Linked DNA regions of Canis lupus familiaris. The protein of the gene in region 2 interacts with the protein of the main gene of each other region in a pairwise test. Links are inferred from orthologs where the notes say so. Each region holds a gene or a part of one and is shown on either strand. Other genes may lie near its edges.

The links.
Region 1: the proteins of SPG21 (region 2) and DTX2 interact in binary tests that used the Homo sapiens proteins (3 or more experiments, as listed by UniProt). The two-hybrid records come from large-scale screens. The link is inferred for Canis lupus familiaris from reciprocal best matches to the Homo sapiens genes SPG21 and DTX2.
Region 3: the proteins of SPG21 (region 2) and MID2 interact in binary tests that used the Homo sapiens proteins (3 or more experiments, as listed by UniProt). The two-hybrid records come from large-scale screens. The link is inferred for Canis lupus familiaris from reciprocal best matches to the Homo sapiens genes SPG21 and MID2.
Region 4: the proteins of SPG21 (region 2) and S100B interact in binary tests that used the Homo sapiens proteins (3 or more experiments, as listed by UniProt). The two-hybrid records come from large-scale screens. The link is inferred for Canis lupus familiaris from reciprocal best matches to the Homo sapiens genes SPG21 and S100B.
Region 5: the proteins of SPG21 (region 2) and ATPAF2 interact in binary tests that used the Homo sapiens proteins (3 or more experiments, as listed by UniProt). The two-hybrid records come from large-scale screens. The link is inferred for Canis lupus familiaris from reciprocal best matches to the Homo sapiens genes SPG21 and ATPAF2.

Annotation. Positions count from the first base shown.
Region 1 is NC_049227.1:7,519,432-7,523,727, reverse strand, and holds the start of DTX2 (probable E3 ubiquitin-protein ligase DTX2), read right to left. Parts: upstream 2,873-4,296; 5' UTR 2,393-2,872; intron 2,251-2,392; exon of another isoform or gene 2,132-2,250; intron 1,203-2,131; exon of another isoform or gene 1,038-1,202; intron 1-1,037. UniProt on the Homo sapiens protein: Regulator of Notch signaling, a signaling pathway involved in cell-cell communications that regulates a broad spectrum of cell-fate determinations.
Region 2 is NC_049251.1:29,783,793-29,787,509, forward strand, and holds part of SPG21 (maspardin), read right to left. Parts: intron 2,146-3,717; coding exon 2,037-2,145; intron 1,232-2,036; coding exon 1,124-1,231; intron 1-1,123. UniProt on the Homo sapiens protein: May play a role as a negative regulatory factor in CD4-dependent T-cell activation.
Region 3 is NC_049260.1:81,966,728-81,971,047, reverse strand, and holds the start of MID2 (probable E3 ubiquitin-protein ligase MID2), read right to left. Parts: upstream 2,821-4,320; 5' UTR 2,700-2,820; coding exon 2,696-2,699; exon of another isoform or gene 2,605-2,695; intron 2,081-2,604; exon of another isoform or gene 2,059-2,080; intron 1-2,058. UniProt on the Homo sapiens protein: E3 ubiquitin ligase that plays a role in microtubule stabilization. Mediates the 'Lys-48'-linked polyubiquitination of LRRK2 to drive its localization to microtubules and its proteasomal degradation in neurons.
Region 4 is NC_049252.1:39,767,351-39,769,588, forward strand, and holds the end of S100B (protein S100-B), read right to left. Parts: intron 1,778-2,238; coding exon 1,637-1,777; 3' UTR 691-1,636; downstream 1-690. UniProt on the Homo sapiens protein: Small zinc- and- and calcium-binding protein that is highly expressed in astrocytes and constitutes one of the most abundant soluble proteins in brain.
Region 5 is NC_049226.1:41,692,598-41,697,009, reverse strand, and holds the start of ATPAF2 (ATP synthase mitochondrial F1 complex assembly factor 2), read right to left. Parts: upstream 2,900-4,412; 5' UTR 2,764-2,899; coding exon 2,631-2,763; intron 1-2,630. UniProt on the Homo sapiens protein: Plays a role in the assembly of the F1 component of the mitochondrial ATP synthase (ATPase).

The DNA.
Region 1 (4,296 bases), on a different chromosome or scaffold from region 2:
CCAACTGAAAGAAAACACCCTCTTCTCAACTTCCACAGCACTTGCCTGCCCTTTACAGTTCTCTATGTCCATTCTATCTCTTCAAGGAGACTATGAAGAAACTGAGGGCAACATCTATGTCTAACTCTTCCTCTATCAAAAGCTGGCATGGTGTAAAGAAACAGTCACAAAGAGAATAATCCAGTCTAATCCATTCATACTTTCTAGCCAGTGTGCTCATGTAAAATGCCCTCATGGAATTCTGCTAAAATCCTGCTTCCCAGAGCCTTAGTGCGGCCCACAAAACCATCCACACTTTCCCTCTGCCTACCTAACCAGCCTCCTCCACCTCACACCCATCCCTGTTGCTCTAGCCACATAGAGCTACTTACATTGGCCCATGCGTACCAGGTAACTTCTGGACTCTGCAGATGCCCACTCCTCTGCCAGGCTTCTGCTCTCCTTTTCAAGTCCTTCACAACTCAGCTCAATTATGTTCTTCTAGAAGCTTGCTGACCCTTCCCTCCTATCCCTTCCTGGACAGCCCCTGGTCGAGGGGCTGGGGCTCTGCCCTGTGATTCCTCCCACCTCAACACATAGCACACCAACAACTCCTTGCCACTGTCTAGGGTCTGTCTAGGAACGGACAGTCCATTCCACCAAATGATGAGCTCCCAGGTGACAGAGCTCTTCTCACTCATCACTGTGCCCCACCATTGAGCATGGGGCTTGACACAAAGAAGGCACCCAGTTTTGTGCGGGCAACAAAAGAAATAAAATTTCCAGCTCAGATGCAGAAATCATGACTTGTGTCCTTCACCCCATAAAGCATGTCTTAAGTGAAAACCATGTGTAAAGCATCCTCTAAGCCTGGTTTAACAGAAGAAGCCCTTGGCAAGAAAGCACTTGACTTTATTTGAGACAGTTGGCAATCAACAATCAACTCCCAAGGCTGACTTTCATCCGGGAGACCTCAAATTTCACCCTCCCCAGTCTCCACCTCCTCTACTGAAAACCAGATCCAGAAGGCAGCAATGTGAAGTCCCTGTCACTCTTACCTTTTCTCTCTGGAGAGCTGGCACAAACTGTCCCTTCTTGACAGAGACACTAGATCCTTAGGAGGAATGACTTGTTTGAGTTCCCATCTTGATATAAAATGCAAACAACAAAAACCGAGCAAATCGGAAAGCCTTGCTGACTCAGCAACACAAATTCCAGGGCACCTTTGCCAACAAGGAAAAAGATGATCAGGTTTTAAATTGAGAAACAGCAGTCAGTGAAAACGAATGCACAGATGTTGGGTCTGTGCGCTGCGGCCGGGGACTGGAAACCACCAGATTTATTTTTCAACAGCCTGGGCAGGACAGAAGGTACAACAGTCTCCCTCTACCCACTCAATAATCAAGGGGATGGTGGAAACACACACACACACACACCTCAGCTCTTTCACGGAAAGGCCTAAATGGGCTTCCTAAGTCAGTCTGCAGTGTAAGAATCCAGGAGATTAACACACCAGAGAAGGTAAAAGTTTGGCCAAGGTCACGCAGCAAATGAGTAAGAGGCCCAGTTATAGTTACCGTGAGGGTAAAGCCCGATTTTGGCTACCACAACGTCGACCTTCTAGAACTCTAGAGGATAGCAGGCAGAAGTATTCTTGAATTAATTCTTAACGGTCCGGGAGCCTGTGCGTGCACACACTATTTCCACTGTTACTGGCACTTAGGGAAGTGGAACCAGTGTGGAAGGGAGCAGCTGGTTGGAGGGGAGGGGAGCGGAGTGGGCGACAGGGCAGGTTCAGAAAAATAAAAAAAAAGTCGTCTAAATCCTCTCCGACGTACATTACGCAACCCTCAAAAGGAACCCAGGGCCCCCAGGAAACCGGAGTTTCCCGGAGGGCGACCCCTACCTGAGGCAGGGAAGCAGAGTTTGGGGGCAAACTCTTTCAAAAAGTACAGCCCCGGGCTGCAGCAAGTCGTCCGCCCGAAGCCAGAACCCAGGAGAATCGACCCCGCGAGCCCCGGAGCCCAGTGACGGGATCTCCAGCGCCTCCGCCCGCCCCTGTGGGAAGGGGTGTCCTCCTCGCCACGGCCCCGAACTCCCGGGGTCTGCGCCCCTCCCCCTGCCAGCCCTTCGGCTCCCACCCGGCGCTCACCCTCGCACCCAGACCCGTCCCAAAGCTGCCAGCGCGCCCGATTCTCCCAGCTCCCGCCTCCGGCGGCCGCGGCCCCGGGCCAGCCCCGCGGCGGGTCCTCCCAGTCCCCCCGGACCTCACCACGGGGCTCTTCCCCGGCCCGGCCCGGCCCTCCCTCAGTCCCACGCCCGCCCCCTTCCGGTCCCAGTTCGGCTCAGTCCCCCCCGCGTCCCCGGGACCCCAGCCCTGGCGACGGGCAGGTGGCCCGCCCGCCCCTCTCACCGAGGCTGAGGAAGACGAGGGGGCCGGGTGAGGGCACCGCCGCGCTGGGGCTGCAGCTCGGGCCGGCCTGGGCACCGCTCCGGCTGAAGCTCCGACTCTGAGGAGGCAGCCAGAGTGAAACTCGGCGTCGCAGCTTCCTAGCTCTCCAGTGCGCATGCCCAGGTCGCGGGGTCTTCTGGGAAATGTAGTTCCATGTGTTGGGGGCGGGGCGGGACCCAATCCCACGCGCACCGGTTCAGGTGTATCTATTCTTCCTTCTTGGTCTGTTCACTCACTGACTTACTCCTTCATTAACTTACTGACTCATTTTAGATAGTCATTACCCGTACACATGTGGTGCCATGCCCCGTGCTGGGTCCTGAGGCTCCAAACGTGAGTCAGAAACTTGGTTTCTCTGCTGGGAGAAGTTCATATCTGCTTGGGCAGACAGACACTCAAACACATAATTACAGTACAGTGGGATAAATGTGACTTTAAGCACAGGAGTTGGAGCACAGAGGGTGTGGTTCATTTGGAGGAGGTGTCAGGGAGACATCACAAAGGGGTGGGACGCCTGAGTTGGATTTTGAAGCACACACGAGGGTTTGCCAGATGAAGTACAGGGAAGCTCCTGCAAAGGAAGAGAGATGTGAAAGTGCTTGATGCATTCAGGAAGCAGTGAAACGTTCCCTGTAGCCAGGGCAGGAGGGTACACAGAGGGGCTGAGGACAGAGGAAATAGATTAGGGTGTGTCAGGATATGAGTGTGGGGACCAGGCTGGGTAAGATTATGAATGTCTTTAAATACTATGCATTTCTTTTTGCCACTAAGGCCAAAAGAAAGATTCAAACAAAGGAATGATACCCTGTGTGATAGGTGGAGGACACGTTTAAGGAACAAAGGAGTAGGGAGACCAGTTTGGAGGCTCTTGCTATAGTCATATATATATATATATATAATCTTTTTTTTAAAAAAGATTTTACTTATTCATAGAGGGAGAGGCAGAGACACAGGCAGAGGGAGAAGCAGGCTCCATGCAGAGAGCCTGACGTGGGACTCGATCCAGGGTCTCCAGGATCATGCCCTGCCTGAGCTGCAGGCAGCACTAAACCGCTGCGCCACCGGGGCTGCCCATATATATCAGATCTTGATATAGTCTGAACTATATCTATAGTTCAGATAGAAGGTCTGAACCAGGGGCACCTGGGTGTCTCAGTGGTTAAGCATCTGCCTTTGGCTCAGGTTGTGATGGCGGGGGTGGGGGGAGGGGGTGTGTGTCCTGAGATCAAATTCCCCATCAGGCTCCCCATAGGGAGCCTGCTTCTCCCTCTGCCTCTCTCTGTCTCTCATGAATAAATAAATAAAATCTTTTTTTTAAAAAAAAAAAGGTCTGAACTAGGTCGGTGACTACTCTTCTGGGATCACAGACCTCCTTCACAAAGATAAATAGATCTATTCCTAAAACATGCTCAGATAGAAATGTTCACACACGTGTACATACATGTCACATATACAATCTTGCACACAGTTCCAGGGGGTTAAGAGGTCTCTGAATCTTGGCCTCTAGTTGAGTATCTTTACATAATCTAATGTCACTCATACTTCATCAGGGATTTAAGGAAAAGATACCTCTCCACACCCCGCCCCCATCATTCAGTTGAAAACTTTATTTTATAGAAAAGGGAGCTGAGGCTCAGAGGGGAGACTAATCCACCCAAAGTCAATGAAGCAGAGGAAGGAGTGCCTGTGGCAGGCCCACTTCTGGGACCCTAGTTTAGGACTCGACTCTGTGATCCAGGACCTGACTTGGAGGATATAGGCGTTGAGCCTGGGGAAGCACTAAAGTCGGGTTCTCCCAATAATGCCAGTCCTCTTTCCAGAAATGAGGGAGTGACTTTCTACCTGTGATTTATACTAGGTAACTG
Region 2 (3,717 bases):
CAGAATCACCAATATGGCTCAGCAATTTCACCTCTAGGTATAGACCCAAAAGAAGTGAAAGTAGGTACTCAAACAGGTATGTGTATACCAACATTCAGAGCAGCATGATTCACAAGAGCCAAAAGGTGGAAAAACCCAAATGCTCATCAACAGGTGAATGGACAGGGGCAGCCAGGTGGTTCAGTGGTTTAGCGCCACCTTCGGCCCAGGGCCTGATCCTGGGGACCCAGGATCAAGTCCCATGTCGGGCTCCCTGCATGGGGCCTGCTTCTCCTTCTGCCTGTGTCTCTGCCTCTCTCTCTCTGTGTCTCTCATGAATAAATAAATAAAATCTTAAAAAAAAACAAAACAGGTGAATGGATAAATAAAATGTGGTATATACACACAACAGAATATTATTCAGCCTTTAATACATGCTATAACATGAATAAACTTTGAAGATATTCTGCTAAGTGAAATAAGCCAGACACAGAAGTACAAATATTACGTGATTCCACTTCTATGAGATACACAGAATAGTCAGTACATAGAGCAGAAAGTACAATGTGGGTTACCAGGGTCTGGGAGAAGGAGGGACTGGCAAGCTAGTGTTTAATGGGTACAGACTTTCAGTTTGGGATGATGCAAAGTTCTGGAAATGGATGGTGGTGACAGTTTCACAACACCATAAATGTACTTAACTCCTCTGAACTGTACACTTGAATATGGTTAAAATGGTAAGTTTTGTTACAAGAAGCAAACTTTCATGCTAATTAGACTTTATGGAATTTTTGATTCTCTGCCTCTGTGAGGCAACTTTTGCTGCACAGATGTGTAGTAGCTAAAGTACAGTATTTGGTGATGACAATAGAAAAATCCATCAAAATGGGTAAGGATTACCATGTTTGTTTATGTTTATTCTGATTTCAATGGTGTTATTCCTGCCAGGGAAAATATGGGGTAAGCAATAAACTGATTGTTTTAGAACTGTGGTGGTGGTGGTTGTTAAAAAAAAAAACAAAAAACAAACACAAGGCAGCATTTAAAGAGGCACACTGAAAAATTATAAAACAATTATGAGGAAGCTCTTGATATATACATTTATAAAGCTAAAGCATCTATTTTTTTTTAAAAGGAAGCTTACATCCATAATGGTCACAGGGATGTCTCGAATCTTATGAGGTTCCACATAAGAATTTTGACAATTCAGGGTAAGTCTTGAAGCCAGTTCACTCTGACCCAAACTTTCCAGCTGCAGGAAGAAACACAGGCAAAGTTTTTGAATTAAATTTGTTCCTCATGTTATATTAAATCCACAGATAATACCTGCACTTATAAAGGCGCCATCATGTGTGGTGGGCCGGGTCACCAGTGAGGAAATACAATGTATCTGAGAGACCATGCACTGGGCCTCCCAGCTGGTGGTGTTCTATTCTGGGAACCTAGCATTACATACCCCTCACCCTGAACTGCCTCTGCAACCGGGTAACCGTGGGTAGCAGGCTACTTCCCAAAGCCCCAAAGTGACAGATAAACACTTTTACAAGATTTTGGAGCTGGAAGAGATCTCAGAAAAATCATCTAGCCCCATAGCCCCTAAATGCAAGTCTGTAGACCTGCTACTTTGGGTTCCCCTTGTGGGGGAGAAAGAGAGGAGGAAGAGAGTAAAAATGCAAATTCCCAGACCCTATGCCCATGGATTCCAGTTCAGTGGGCTGGCAAGGCCTTGGAATCTGTATTTTTTTTTTTTTTTTTTTGAAGTAGGTTCCATGCCCAACATGGGGCTTGAACTCATGATCCTGAGATCAAGAGTCACACGTTCCACGAACTGAGCCAGCCAGGTGCCCCCGGAATCTGTATTTTTAAAAGCTCCTCCCAAGTGATTCTGATGAATTACTTCCCAGGAGTAACATCTGTTGGGTATATTAAAGTAAATATGGAAGACTGCTTAACAAACATCTCTAACATACTCAACGAGACAGATCTATCATCAAGAACTAGGGAGACATGGAGATTCCTAGTACAAAGTGTTCCCATTCTAATGCCAAAATCCTTACCCTGTCCACCATAAAATCAATAGCATCAGCCATCATAGGGTCCACTGGGCCAGATGAAAAGTTTCCGAGAACGATTTTTTTGAGCATAAATGATGGCATCAGCCAAAAGCTGTAAAACAAAGACCTGATCATCAAATCTGCAAGACCACACAAAAATGGCAAATATTCATTCGATATTGAAGCTCTGTATTAGCTACTTAGGATCTAAAGATAAAATGATCTAGTCTCTTCTTTCAAAGAGCTGGTTTTGAAGCATCATATTTTTATGTAAATTTTCCCGAGCTCCTAAAAGAGTTATGGTTTAATATAGTCAAGTTTTATTTGAGGATTTGGAATAATTATAAGCAGTATTTCAAATATCTTTACCAAGGTAGACATTTTGATAATTCTGAGTTTTGGTTTTGGTTTTACTAATTGGCCTTATTTCCAATGGCTAAAACTATTCTCCTTAGAAAATGGAAAATGTGGGCTGCCTGTGTGGCTCAGTCGGTTAAGTGGCCGACTCTGGATTTTGGCTCAGGTCATGATCTCAGGGTTGAGGGGTCGAGCTCCACAGTGGGCTCCGTGCTCAGGAGGGAGTCTTCTGGAGAGTCTCCCTCTCCCTCTGTCCCTCACATTCTCTCTCCCTCTGTAAAATAAATAAATCTTAAAAAAAAACAAAAACCTGAAAACTTAAGATTTCAACCTTCAGGTTTTTATCACCTTTTGATTGCTCGGTATTTCAAAATAGCAAAATGAAAGAATGATTGTACCTTCCAAAGTTTGCTACTAGTAGATTCAACTGCACTAATTCAAGGCAATTCAATTTATGAATTTCTATATGTGATTTTTAGTTGGTATTTATGCCATTAATTATGAATGTTCAGAGCCATTATATAGGGTGAACACTACTTTCTCCAAACCTATGCTGAAAATGACTTAAAAAAGGAAGAGACCACCTTCTGATGTGCCTTTTCCATGGAATGGCTTGTTGGAAGGTGAGCATCCCTCACGAGGACAGCTGGCCATCCTTCATTACCTTTCTCCAACCCAACCCCTATGGCTTCCTTAGCTTCTCTTTTTTTTTTTTTTTTTTTTTATTTATTTATGATAGTCACAGAGAGAGAGAGAGAGAGAGAGGCAGAGACACAGGCAGAGGGAGAAGCAGGCTCCATGCACCGGGAGCCTGATGTGGGATTCGATCCTGGGTCTCCAGGATCGCGCCCTGGGCCAAAGGCAGGCGCCAAACCGCTGCGCCACCCAGGGATCCCCCTTAGCTTCTCAAGGTGATCCTACCTAGGCACCTCGTGAGGGGCAGACCCTCCTGGCTTTGCTTGACCCTGTGGCCTCAATGGGTGGTACACAGCAAGCACTCAGATAGTTGATAAAATGTAGCTCACGTGCTGGAACACAAAGTGGGGGCTTTCTTGGTTCTGACAACTAAAACAACATTAAAATCGCCAAAAATTGTCAAAAATGGGCAGCCCAGGTGGCTCAGCGGTTTAGCGCTGCCTTTAGCCCAGGGCCTGATCCTGGAGACCCGGGATAGAGTCTCACATCAGGCTCCTTACATGCTCTCTCTCTCACTCTGTCTCTCTGTGTCTCAAATAAATAAATAAATAAATCTTTTTAAAAATCGTCAAAAATAATCAGTGAGCTTTAGTGCATTGTGTGGACATGAACTATTTTTGTAGTAAATGTA
Region 3 (4,320 bases), on a different chromosome or scaffold from region 2:
GAAAGACCTAGTCTTCCTGCAGTTTCCTTCTCAACTGTCATGGCATCAGCAGATTTTATGGAAGGATGAGGGAATGGATGGGCTCACTACCCAGAGCAATTTTTGGATGCAATTATGAGACTCCCCTGGCACCGATTTAAGATCTGCAAGTTGGAGCAAGTTGCCATGCACTCCGAGGAGGGATTAACTAAACCAATTTCATCTCAATTTGCGCTGTTCAGATGATAGAGTCATGAGGAAACTAAGTCACTGGGGCCTGTAGCAGGGCTTCCCAGGGTGACCGTGCAAGGTACAACGTGCCAGGTGAGATCTAGTGGTCATGAAAGAGGGAGCCAATCAGCCCTTTGTTTTCCCTAGCCTCTACCCCTGTCTTGCTCCTCCCTGTCCTACTCCGGGTGCTGCAGGTAAGGAAGGAGGCCTCAAATGAGGAGGCCAAATATGAAGGCCAAGACCTGGAACTTGGCCCCATCAGCAGAGAACTCTGCACACTGTAGGTGCTCAGTAAATATTGTTGACTCACTGCTGCTAGATGCTAATCATGCTCCTATTGCCAGGCCTAAAATTATTTATGCCGCTTTTCAGTAGAAATTAACTGCCCCCATACAGGCTAAAAATGGGTGAGGTTATGTTTGCAAATGAGTCTGACTCAGACTGTTAGGTTGGAGTACATTAGATATGATTCAAGCTTCAACTTAAAATAATCACCATTACTCCGTATGCCTAGTTTTATGCATGTTTTCATTCAGTTGTACATGCTTTAGGAACAACAAACAACAGAGTCCTGAGTATGGTGATAGATTTGGCTCCTGGGGTGGAGGGTGGCTAAGGATGGTAAGTTAGGGTTTCCAGTAAACCAGAGTTCCTCCTCACACCCAGTCCAGCTATTATCCCCATAAAAAGGTAAATGAAGCGCTTTATTTGAAAAGCGTAATGCTGAGAGTTTATAGAACCCTTTCATCTTCAAAAGACCAAGCAGAGCCTCAAAATGCCCAGTATACAGTATTATGCCTTTTACACAAGTACACCAAGTATAAAAGAAAGGTCATAGGAATGTCCTAGGGCCATAAAACCAATGTGATGTCAGATTTGGGATAAACTCTCTGATCTTCCTGACTCCTAGACCCATATTTCAACCACAGAAATCCAGTTGTGAGGAACGACCAGGAAAAATCTCGTTCACATTATGTATCTATATTAAGGTAATTGATTGGGCAGGCATATATAAAAATAGCAGACTGTTTCTCCCTTAGGGCAGTCAGTAGGATTGCAGAGGGGAGAAAAGGGGGCATGTGAGGGTTGGGGTAATCAGCTAGAGTCAAGCCAGAAGGAGGAGAGAGAAGCTCCCTATTATTCAGCATTTCCCTTCTATTGGAACATCACCAGAGAAGTGATTAGAGAGCATTGGGAGGGAACAGAATAGGGTTCAAGGCAGCCCTTGCCGCCCAACTAGAGAATCCAAGGAATCAACCACATACATGACTGGTCTTTTTATACAGTTTCCACTATATTCCTGTATCAGGGCTCCTCCTCACAGGCACACAACCATCACCATGCACCTACCCCACACTCAGAAATCCTCAAAAAGGCAAATTGGTTGAGGAGCAAGAGGCTGGAGGGCTGGGAGGCAGGTGGAGCACGCACGCAGGTTGGTGGGGGTTAGTCTGGGGGGGACGGTGCGTTCTGCTGGGAGACCTGGGTGGGCAGGTAGGTGTGTGACAACGCAGGAAGAGGGCAAGTGATTGCGAAGAAGGGTAAGGGAGCATGGAAGAGAGAAAGTGAAGAAAACTCAAGACCCCAGGATCCCAATTTCCTGCTCTGTGGGGTTTGGGTGGGAGGGAGAACCAATAAAGAAAAAAAAAGAAAAAAAAAACAATCAAACAACAACAAACAGACACACACACACACACAACCACAAAACCACAAAACGCCTCCAAGAAATAATGTGCTACACACAAAGTGCTAAGTGGCCTAAAGCTCATCATTACCGAAACTGTTTCTGTAAATCTAGTCCGCCGTTATTTACTCCATTCTTAAGAGGCAGGAATGGAAAAACCCTACCTCTCCCCGGTACGGTCGCAGTCTGTCCTCTGGACATAGAGAAGTTTTCCCTCTCTCCCACTGAGCTGGTTTCAAGGCTAGGCCAGAAATAAGGAACCACCCAGACGGAGACCCGGGAATCGCTCCCCTGGCAGAAAAGGGAGTAAGTTTCATCTGGCCTCCCCGCCGGCAGGGTGTCCGCAGCATCCCTGGCTGCTGCAGCAGCCACTGCCGCGTGGAGGGCCGGTCGAGGGGCGCCGCCCGTGTCAAGAAGGCTATCGGCCGCGGGAGCGTGGGAAGGCGGCGGTGCCCTTTCCCAGACTCACGCACAGGCACCGGGGCAGCCGCTCGACTGCCCGCGCCAGGCGAGTCGGGGCGCTGGAGGCCTCGGGCCGCCCCCGCCCCACACCCCGGAGTGCAAACTCCGTCCCAAGAGGGCAGCGACGGGCACCCAGGCCAGGCCGGGGCCCCCACCGCCGACACCGCCACCTCGAGCCTCGCGGTGCCCCGTCACGCCGCCCCGCCGAGCCCCGGGGCCCTGGGCCCCGTGCCGGGCCCCAATGGCACCTGAGAGGCGGCCGGAACCGGAGCCCGGGTCGAGCCGAGTGCGGGCGGTGCCCCTCGGCTCTCGGGGCCGTGGCGAGGGGGCGCGTTTTACCCATAGCGTTCCCGGGTGCCAGCCATCTCCTTGGCGCGCCCGAGGGCGCCGGGCGCTCGCCTGCCTCCGCTGGGAGCTGGCTCGGGCTCCGGCGCGAGCTCCCGGGCCGCCGCCGCCTCTCTAGGCCGCCGCCCGCCTTCGCCGCCGCCGCCGCCGCCGCGCAGCAGCCGGGATCCGCCCGCCCGCGCGCCCCGCGAGAGACAGCACGGCAGCCGCGACGCTACCGCAGCTGGGTCTCCAGAGACGAACTTAAAGAGTTTTAGCCCTTTCGTCCAGGGGCAGCACCATGACACCACGGCAGCACCACACTGTCATTTCCGCCGCCGCAGAGGAAAAAAAAAAAAAAAAGGCAATCCCTACGAAAAGGGGGGTGGGGGGCAAACAGGGCTGGGGCTGGCGCCCCGAGGTAACACTGCGAAGGGCCCCGGGTACCAGGGGCGCTTGACCACCTTCCCGGTCTCACCTTCCTCCACCCCCGCCGCTCCCAGCTCCCCCAGCCCCTCCTGTGGAGGCGCGTTTACAGGTTTTCTCCCCTGGCTGGAGTGACCGGAGAAACCTGAGCAAGCCAAGGCAGCGGGTGGGTGGGGTTCGGGTTACTACGGTACCTACCAGCTGATTCCAGCAGCTTTTTCTCCAGCGCCCTGTCATCTTGAAGGAAGACACACCGAGGGGCTCGAGCGGGCGTGTGTGTGCGAGCGCGTGTGTGTATGTGTGTGTGAGCGAAAGACAGAGAGAGAGAGAGAGCGCAGAATGTGTACGAAATGCAGAAGGAAGACTATGGCCAAACTCTTTTCCCACCCGCCAACCCTCTGATCGCACAAGCCACCAGGTTAGAACAAGGAAAAGGCCATCGCCACCAGCAACGACAAGAGAGTGCCTAGGTCCACCGCACTGGTTCTCAGATGAAGCCGCTCCGGTGCAAAGTTAACTACCAAGTAAAACAAAAATAGTGGAGGACACATAAAAGGGCAGACAATTGAAGGAAACCCAACCCCTCTTTCTTTTTACAAAGGGAGAATGCCTGTGTTTTATTGGCCTTGGGCAGAAGTTGTGGAGATGGATTAAAGCCACCAAAATTTTAGAAAAACAAAAGAGAGTAGAGTCTCATCTGCACATCCAAATCCTTGATGGGCAAAACAAGAGGGTCGTTAAACAGGACAATAGGACAGATGCCAGCCATCCAGGTATAATGTCCCTAATAAGCTAATTGGTCCATCTGGAACCCGGAAGCCTCATTGGTCTGGAGTCAGCCTCTTGGCTGACCTGTCATTGGCTCAGAGACCACCACCCCACTCACAAAGAGGATGAGAGAGGAAAGGAGGAGGAGGCCCCAGAGGAGATTCTGTACCTAAGGTGGGATCAAAGGGGGAGAGGAAGGAGAGAGAAGAGAGAAAATGAAAGGAAACACTCCCCTTTCTCATAGGCCTCCCATTACTGTGCATGGGAACGAGTCCAGAAAAATTAAGGTAGCTCTGGGAGTCTCCCATGAAGGAACCAATAGTAATTAGCCAACACCCCTGTTAAACAATGTGCTAGACAGCCCTGAAGTGGAAACGAAGGCAAAAATCACAACCAGGCTATCCTGATGAAAGTCTGACCCTGAGAGAAATAAGTTAATGAGTCAC
Region 4 (2,238 bases), on a different chromosome or scaffold from region 2:
TCCCCTAACTTCTCAGAGGGGAAGGATCAGCTGAGTTCTTGAAGCAGCCTTGCCGTCGGCCCGGGCCTGGGAGGCCAGGCGGCCATGGAACGTGGTCCTGGCGGGTGTTTGTGTGCAGGGGGCACCCTCCCTGCGTGCACGCCTGGCCTCGTGGGGCAGGATTCGGGGCGTTTCTACTGTGAGGGCTCCTCCAGGGACCTGCTCCTTAGCAAGGGGCCCTGGCGGCGGAGGCCCTGGGGCGTCAGGCTCCAGCCCTGCAGGGCCCGCCCGGGCTGCCACACACCCGCTGCACCCTGCTCGGCATCCCAGCTGCCCTGTCCCCCGTCCTCTGCGGCAGGAAGGCCTGCGGATCGCCCGGCAGGGACTGCGGTGTAGACACAGATCCAGGGGTGCAGGATGGGCCGTCCCTGCACATGGTCCCTGCGCGCTGGCTTCCGCCACCATTGTCTCCGAGTCCCCCCGCCCCCCCTGCCCCCCAGCGCTGCGTCCAGGGTGGGAGCCTCGGCCAGGGTGTGTCCCACCCGGTGCTGGCCTGCCCTCCGGCCCTCCTGCCCCCACCCCGCCGCATCTACTCCCTGCCGCCCCGGCACATCCCAGGGTCCCGGGCCCTGTGCACCCGCCTGGCTCTGGGGGGCCTCCTGTGCCTGCCCCTTACTGCTTCCCCCCCTTTGCAGCAGTTTCCCTCCAGCCTCCTGTTCAAGGCCACGGGGACCCGTTACAATGCTCTCTTTATTCGATGCAAACACAAGCGATCAATTGGCTTATGGGTTTCCAGGTCTGTGCACGTAAAGAAGCAGCAGGGAAAGGGGCAGAAAAGGTTAATCTGAACTTTCCCGGAAGTGACTTAATACTTGAACGTTTGGATTCGTGGGTACCCATGTGTGACGTCGAGCTTCCCACGTACTCGGGCTCCACCAACCGCTGCGGGGCAGACCCTGTCTCGGCACAAGCAAGTGAGGAACGACACCTGCGCTTCCCAGACAGGAGGGGAGGCCAGAGGGGCTGTTTGCAGAACACCTGTGTGCGGAGGGGCGTGGACGCCCTGCTGGGAGCCGCGCTCCTGCCTCGGCACCAACGTGTGACCCGGGGCACAGGAGCCCCGCTGAAGGTGGTTAGAATGCGGTGTCGGCCCTGACAGCCGGGAGACCCGCCCCCCCTGCCCCCGCCCAGTGCTGTAGCCCTGTTTGCTGAGCTCCCATGGCTCAGCGGGGACCCGGGGACAGCATGCCCTGGCCGTCTGGCGGCAGGCGTGTCAGGCCACCTCCCGACCCTGGGTTTCCTTCGCACGGATGACAAACCCATTTTAGGAAAAGGCAGGCTTCTCACAGGATACGGGGCGAAGCTGCGTCTCTAACTTGGTACTTTGGACAAGGACCCACGTGCGTCCAGAGCCATCCTTTGGGTCCCGGCAGCTGCGTTGTTGGGGGGGGGGGGTGCGCGGCCCTGACCACGGGCGGAGCACACACCCTCCTGAGGATCGTGACCGCGTCGCACGGACCGTCAGCGGAGGATGGGGGCCCCGAGGTCAGCCCCGGGAAAGGGGGTCGGCGTCTCCTCGACAAAGCACGTCAAGCTTCCTAATCAGCTACACGGCGCCAGGGACTCGGCCCCGCTCCGCTTCCTGCGCGGCTGCGCCTCACTCGTGCTCGAAGAACTCGTGGCAGGCGGTGGTGACCATAGCCACGAAGGCCACGAACTCCTGGAAGTCGCACTCGCCGTCTCCGTCACTGTCCAGTGTCTCCATGACCTTGTCCACGACCTCCTGCTCCTTGATCTCCTACGAGAGAGGACAAATTGCGCCGCCGCTTACGATGAGCCGAGGCCCGCGGCGCGTCCCTGACCCTCGGCCACCGCAGCGACGTGTCCGCAGCAGAGAGAATGTTCACGGGGCGGCAGAGGGGCCGGGGCCCCAGCGTCTCCCCCACCGGACGCTCCCAGAAAGGCACCGTGGGACATGCGGGGTATGTGCCCCCGCCGCCCGCCGTCGCCGGGCTCACATCCAGGGGGCCGCGGAGGATGGCGTCATGGACAGAAGCACGGACTTCTGCTTCTCCCCGAGCTCCTCACTGCGTGTGGAAGTCCTTCCCGCAGGTTTCGGGGTTTTTTTGTTTTTGTTTTTGTTTTTGTTTTTTTTATGATAGGCACACAGTGAGAGAGAGAGAGAGAGGCAGAGACACAGGCAGAGGGAGAAGCAGGCTCCATGCACCGGGAGCCCGACGTGGGATTCGATCCTGGGTC
Region 5 (4,412 bases), on a different chromosome or scaffold from region 2:
CTGTACATGTCCCCTTTGCTCATGTTGTATCTTCTTGGAATGTTGTAAAGGAAACTGTTTTCCTTTACACATTCACACAGACATTCTCCACTCCAAATATGTGGCGGTTTTGCCACCAATCAACCCTGTGACATCAGCTGGGTGTCCTACAATTCAATTAAGTTCTGATAATATCTGCCTGGAGGAGGCATCGAATCCACAAATGGAGGGCTCAGTCCCACAAGACTGCATTTTCCCACTCCCTTCAGATGCCAACTGCAGGCCCAGGTCGTTTCCGGTGCTTCTGACCAACGGGCTATGAACCAGAGGTTCCCTGGATCCCTCTTCAGGTTTGATGAATTTGCCAGAGCAGCTCGTAGAACTCAGAAAGAGATTTTACCTAGTAGACTACAAGCTTATTATAAAAGGATACAATTCAGGAACAGCCACATGAAGAAATGCAGGGCAAAGTATAGGGAAAGGGTATGGAGCTTCCCTGCCTCTCCGGGCATGCTACTCTTCCAGCACCTTCATGTGTTCACTAACCCTGAAGCTCTCTGAACCCCCCCAGTTCAGGGATCTTACAGAGGCTTCATTATAATAAGCATGATTGATTAAATCACAGGCCATTAATCCATCTCTCCAGCCCTTCTCCCCCTCCCCCGAGGTCAGAGGGTGGGGCTGAAAGTACCCAACCTCTAACCTTGTGGTTGGTTCCCCTAGCAACCAGCCCCCATCCTCAGGGGCTTTCCAAAAGCCACCTCATTAACATAATCTCAGGTGTGGCTGAAAGGGGTTTATGAATAAGACACTACTTTCAACTTTCTATCTCTGGAGTTATTTTAAGACAAAAGGCCAAATATTATAACAAAAGCCTCTTCCATAGCTCTTATTGGTTAGTAAATTATGAGGGTTTTAAGAGATGTGTGCCAGGAACTAGACGGGTCGCCAAATATAGACAGTTGACCCTTGAACACCACGGGTTGGCACCGCCAAGATCAGCTTATACCTGAATTTTCTAGAGTATAGCAAACGTTATTTCCTTTTCTTCTTGATCTCTTACTAAAGATTCTAATTTTCTAAATTACGTTTTCTTTTATCTAGCCAACGTAAGAATACTTATGCGTTAGTCAACTGCTATTGGTAAACCTTCTGGCCCAGCAGTAGGTTATTAGTAATTAAGTTTTGGGGGAGTCAAAAGTTATATGTGAATTTTCAATGGTGGGGAGGTGGGAGTGGTGCCTCTACCCTTATGTTGTTGAAGAGTCAACTGTATATGTCTTCTTATAACAATATCACACATGACCTTCCTTCTTCCTCTTTCTTGGCCCTTTGGCTTGGACCCTGACAGGTGAAACCTCAGCTCCTGCTGCATCTAGCTCTCTCCCCCATGTATAAAAAATTATGAAACTTAACAGAAGGACCTTCAGAGGCAACACAGTCCTTCAACTCAGGGAGGAAAATGAGGCCCAAAGAAAGTAGTCACGTACTCAGGACCACGCAGTATCTCAGAGGGTCAGTCAGCATTAGACCATATAGATCTACTTCTGCCACAATGTCAAACTACCTGTAGAATTCTACATTTTCTTTTCTTTTCTTTTTTTTTTTGAATTCTACATTTTCTAAAGCAAGCAATGTTAAAGCAAGGTCGCTCACACCCTGCTGTCACCTCTGAACTTGTTCTGGCCACCCAACACTCTTCCTCCTCCTCTCAACTGAACTCCAACTCATCTGTCAAGGCTCAGCTGAAATGTCCTTTCATCCAAGACCCTTTCTAGACCCTCGGAACCCCCAGATGGGAGTAGGTGCTTCTTTATGTTCTCACAGATTCTTTGTAATTCCTTTATACTGAATATTATACGTTATTGTTCAAAAAGACTATTATAACCTATACTCGACAATGATCATTAGGTAGGGACCACACCTGCCTTGAAGACCATCATGCCTCCAGCTCTCAGCACAGAAAAACTAAATGAAAAGCGTGTTGTTACTCTTTACTCATTTCAAGAAGCGACTCCCACTCTTACTCTAAAACCTCTCCCCAGAAGCAGTGAACGAGTCACCACCTTCTTGTAGGCCTTATCACTCAGAAGAAGAGAAAGGAGGCACGAGGGTCAACTCCTTAGCAGAAACGGCAGGGATTGTGGTAGGGCAATGGGAGGGAGGGACAGGAAACCCGAAGGGAAATGGGCCAGGAGGTAAACTGAATGCCCCGGTTCCAAGACCCTTCTGTGCCCAGCCGTGGGGACAGAGAAAACAGGCCCACCGTTGCCCTCCACAAACTACCCACTGAGCCTGCTCTGTGACCTTGGTGTAGTCCAGATGGAGAACCCGAATCTCCCTGCCTGAAAACGAGAATGCCATCCGCTTTCCTTGCTGGAAAGGAAAACCATAAGCTTTAAGAAAGGCTGCACGTGCCAAACGGCAATTACTGTGTCGTGCAGTGACGCGCTGTGTGCCCTCGGGGGGTCGGTCTGCCCTTGCCTGGGCTTCTATTTTCCCTGATCTGTTGCAGGACCCGATCAAAGCGCGTTACCTCACGAGCCTGAGCTGTGCCTCAGTTACCCCGCCCTGCACAGCTGGAATCCCTCAGCCCACCTTTGCCCCACTCGAGCCCTGGGCGAAAGAGAATGTGCCCTCGCCTCCCTCACCTGTTGGGGGCGCGTAGGCCCGGGCAGGGGCCTGGGGGGTTGGCCCCGGCGGCGCCGGGGCGGCGAGGGCACCCCGGGGCTGGGTCAGGAGGCGGCACCCGGCGTCTCGCAGCCGGAGGCAGCTCCTCCACATCGCGCCTGAGAGCCTGGGGGGACGAGAGCAGGAAACAGAGCGAAGGGATCCCCAAGCCGCACGCTGGGGTTGTACGGAAACCTCTCACCACCTCCCCAGAGCCCTCAGCCTCCCCCTGGACGCCGCCATCTTCCGCATGACACCAGCGGCGCGCCGTCGCTCCAGCGCGCCTCCAGCGCACACCCACAGTCAATCAGCATCACAAACGCACCTCGCCCCGCCCCCTCCACGCCGCGCCTCGGGAAGAAGACTACAAGTCCCAGAGGGCCCCTCGCGCGCCCCGCCACGTGTTTTCCCCGCCCGCCAATGGGTGGAAGCGCCGCGTGAGCCTGTTCCCGCCCCCCCGGCGCGCCTGAGCCAATCCAAAGGGTGGTGTGTGTGCGAGGGCAAGTGGGGAGGGGGACTCAGCTCAGGACAGGGAGGCCCTGCTCGCAGGTCCCGGGGTCCCGGTGGCAGCCGGAGCGCTTGGTCCGCAGGCAGCGGGCGGGTGGTCCCCCTCCGCCCCCACCCCGCGCGTGCGCGCCCCGGCCCCTCCCTCCCTGCCACCCCCCTCGGCTCCCGCGCGGCGGCGGCGGCGGTTCCTCTCCCCCTCCCCCCAGCCCTGGCTCCGGGGGACCCCGCGATGCCGGTCCGCACCGAGTGTCCCCCGCCGGCCGGTGCCTCGGCCGCCTCCGCGGCCTCGCTCATCCCGCCGCCGCCCATCAACACCCAGCAGCCCGGCGTGGCCACCAGCCTGCTCTACAGCGGCTCCAAGTTCCGCGGCCACCAGAAGAGCAAGGGGAACTCGTACGACGTAGAGGTGGTGCTGCAGGTGAGCGCCGGGCCGGGCCGGGCCGGGGCCCGAGGGCCTCCTCGCGGCGCTCACGGGCCGTGCCCGCCCCCGGCTCCTCGAGCCCGCAGCCGCGGACCAGGCCCTCGCCGCCGGGCCTCCTGCACCAGGCGCTTCACCCCCCGGGACCTGCCCAGCTGGTGTCTCACACTCTCCAAGCCCAACCCTGACCTGCCCCTCACACCGGAGCCTGTCGTGAGCAGCTCCTGGCAGACCCTGAACACTCTCCCAGACTCGAAGCCCGTGACCGGCCTGCCTGGGATCCGGAAGCCCCCACCCCACCCCACCCCCGTCACTGGCCACCCTCAGACCTCAGTCCTTCTTCCCCAGGACCTGTCGCCCGGAGAGCAGCCCTCCCTTCAGTCCCTCCCACACCCTGAAGAACTCTCCATTGGTCTCTCCTGACTCGGGACCTTACCCTTGGCTGGGCCCGCGTCAAATTATCCCAGACCTGAGACAATCCTCCCCTCCCCTTTGCTCAGTCTCAGGGATCCTCAAACCTTGGGGCCCTCCTCCCAGGATTTATTCCTTGGGAGAGTCTAGGCAGTTCCCTCGGACCTGGGAGCACACTTCCTCCGTTAGCTCCTGAGCTTGAGAGCCCCCAACCCACAACTGATTCCTAGCCTTTGGTACTCCCTCAAAACCAGGCACTCACATTCTGGGTGCTGCTGGGTGGAGTTCCTCCTAGTTTGTTGGGATCTTGCCTCCTGCCCCCCCACCCCCACCCCAGTCTCTTCCTGGCCCAGGTGCCGGCAGCCCCAAGTCCTGCTCTAGGCTTCTCATGGTCCTTACCTCCATTCTCTGGCCACCTCCAGGTCCC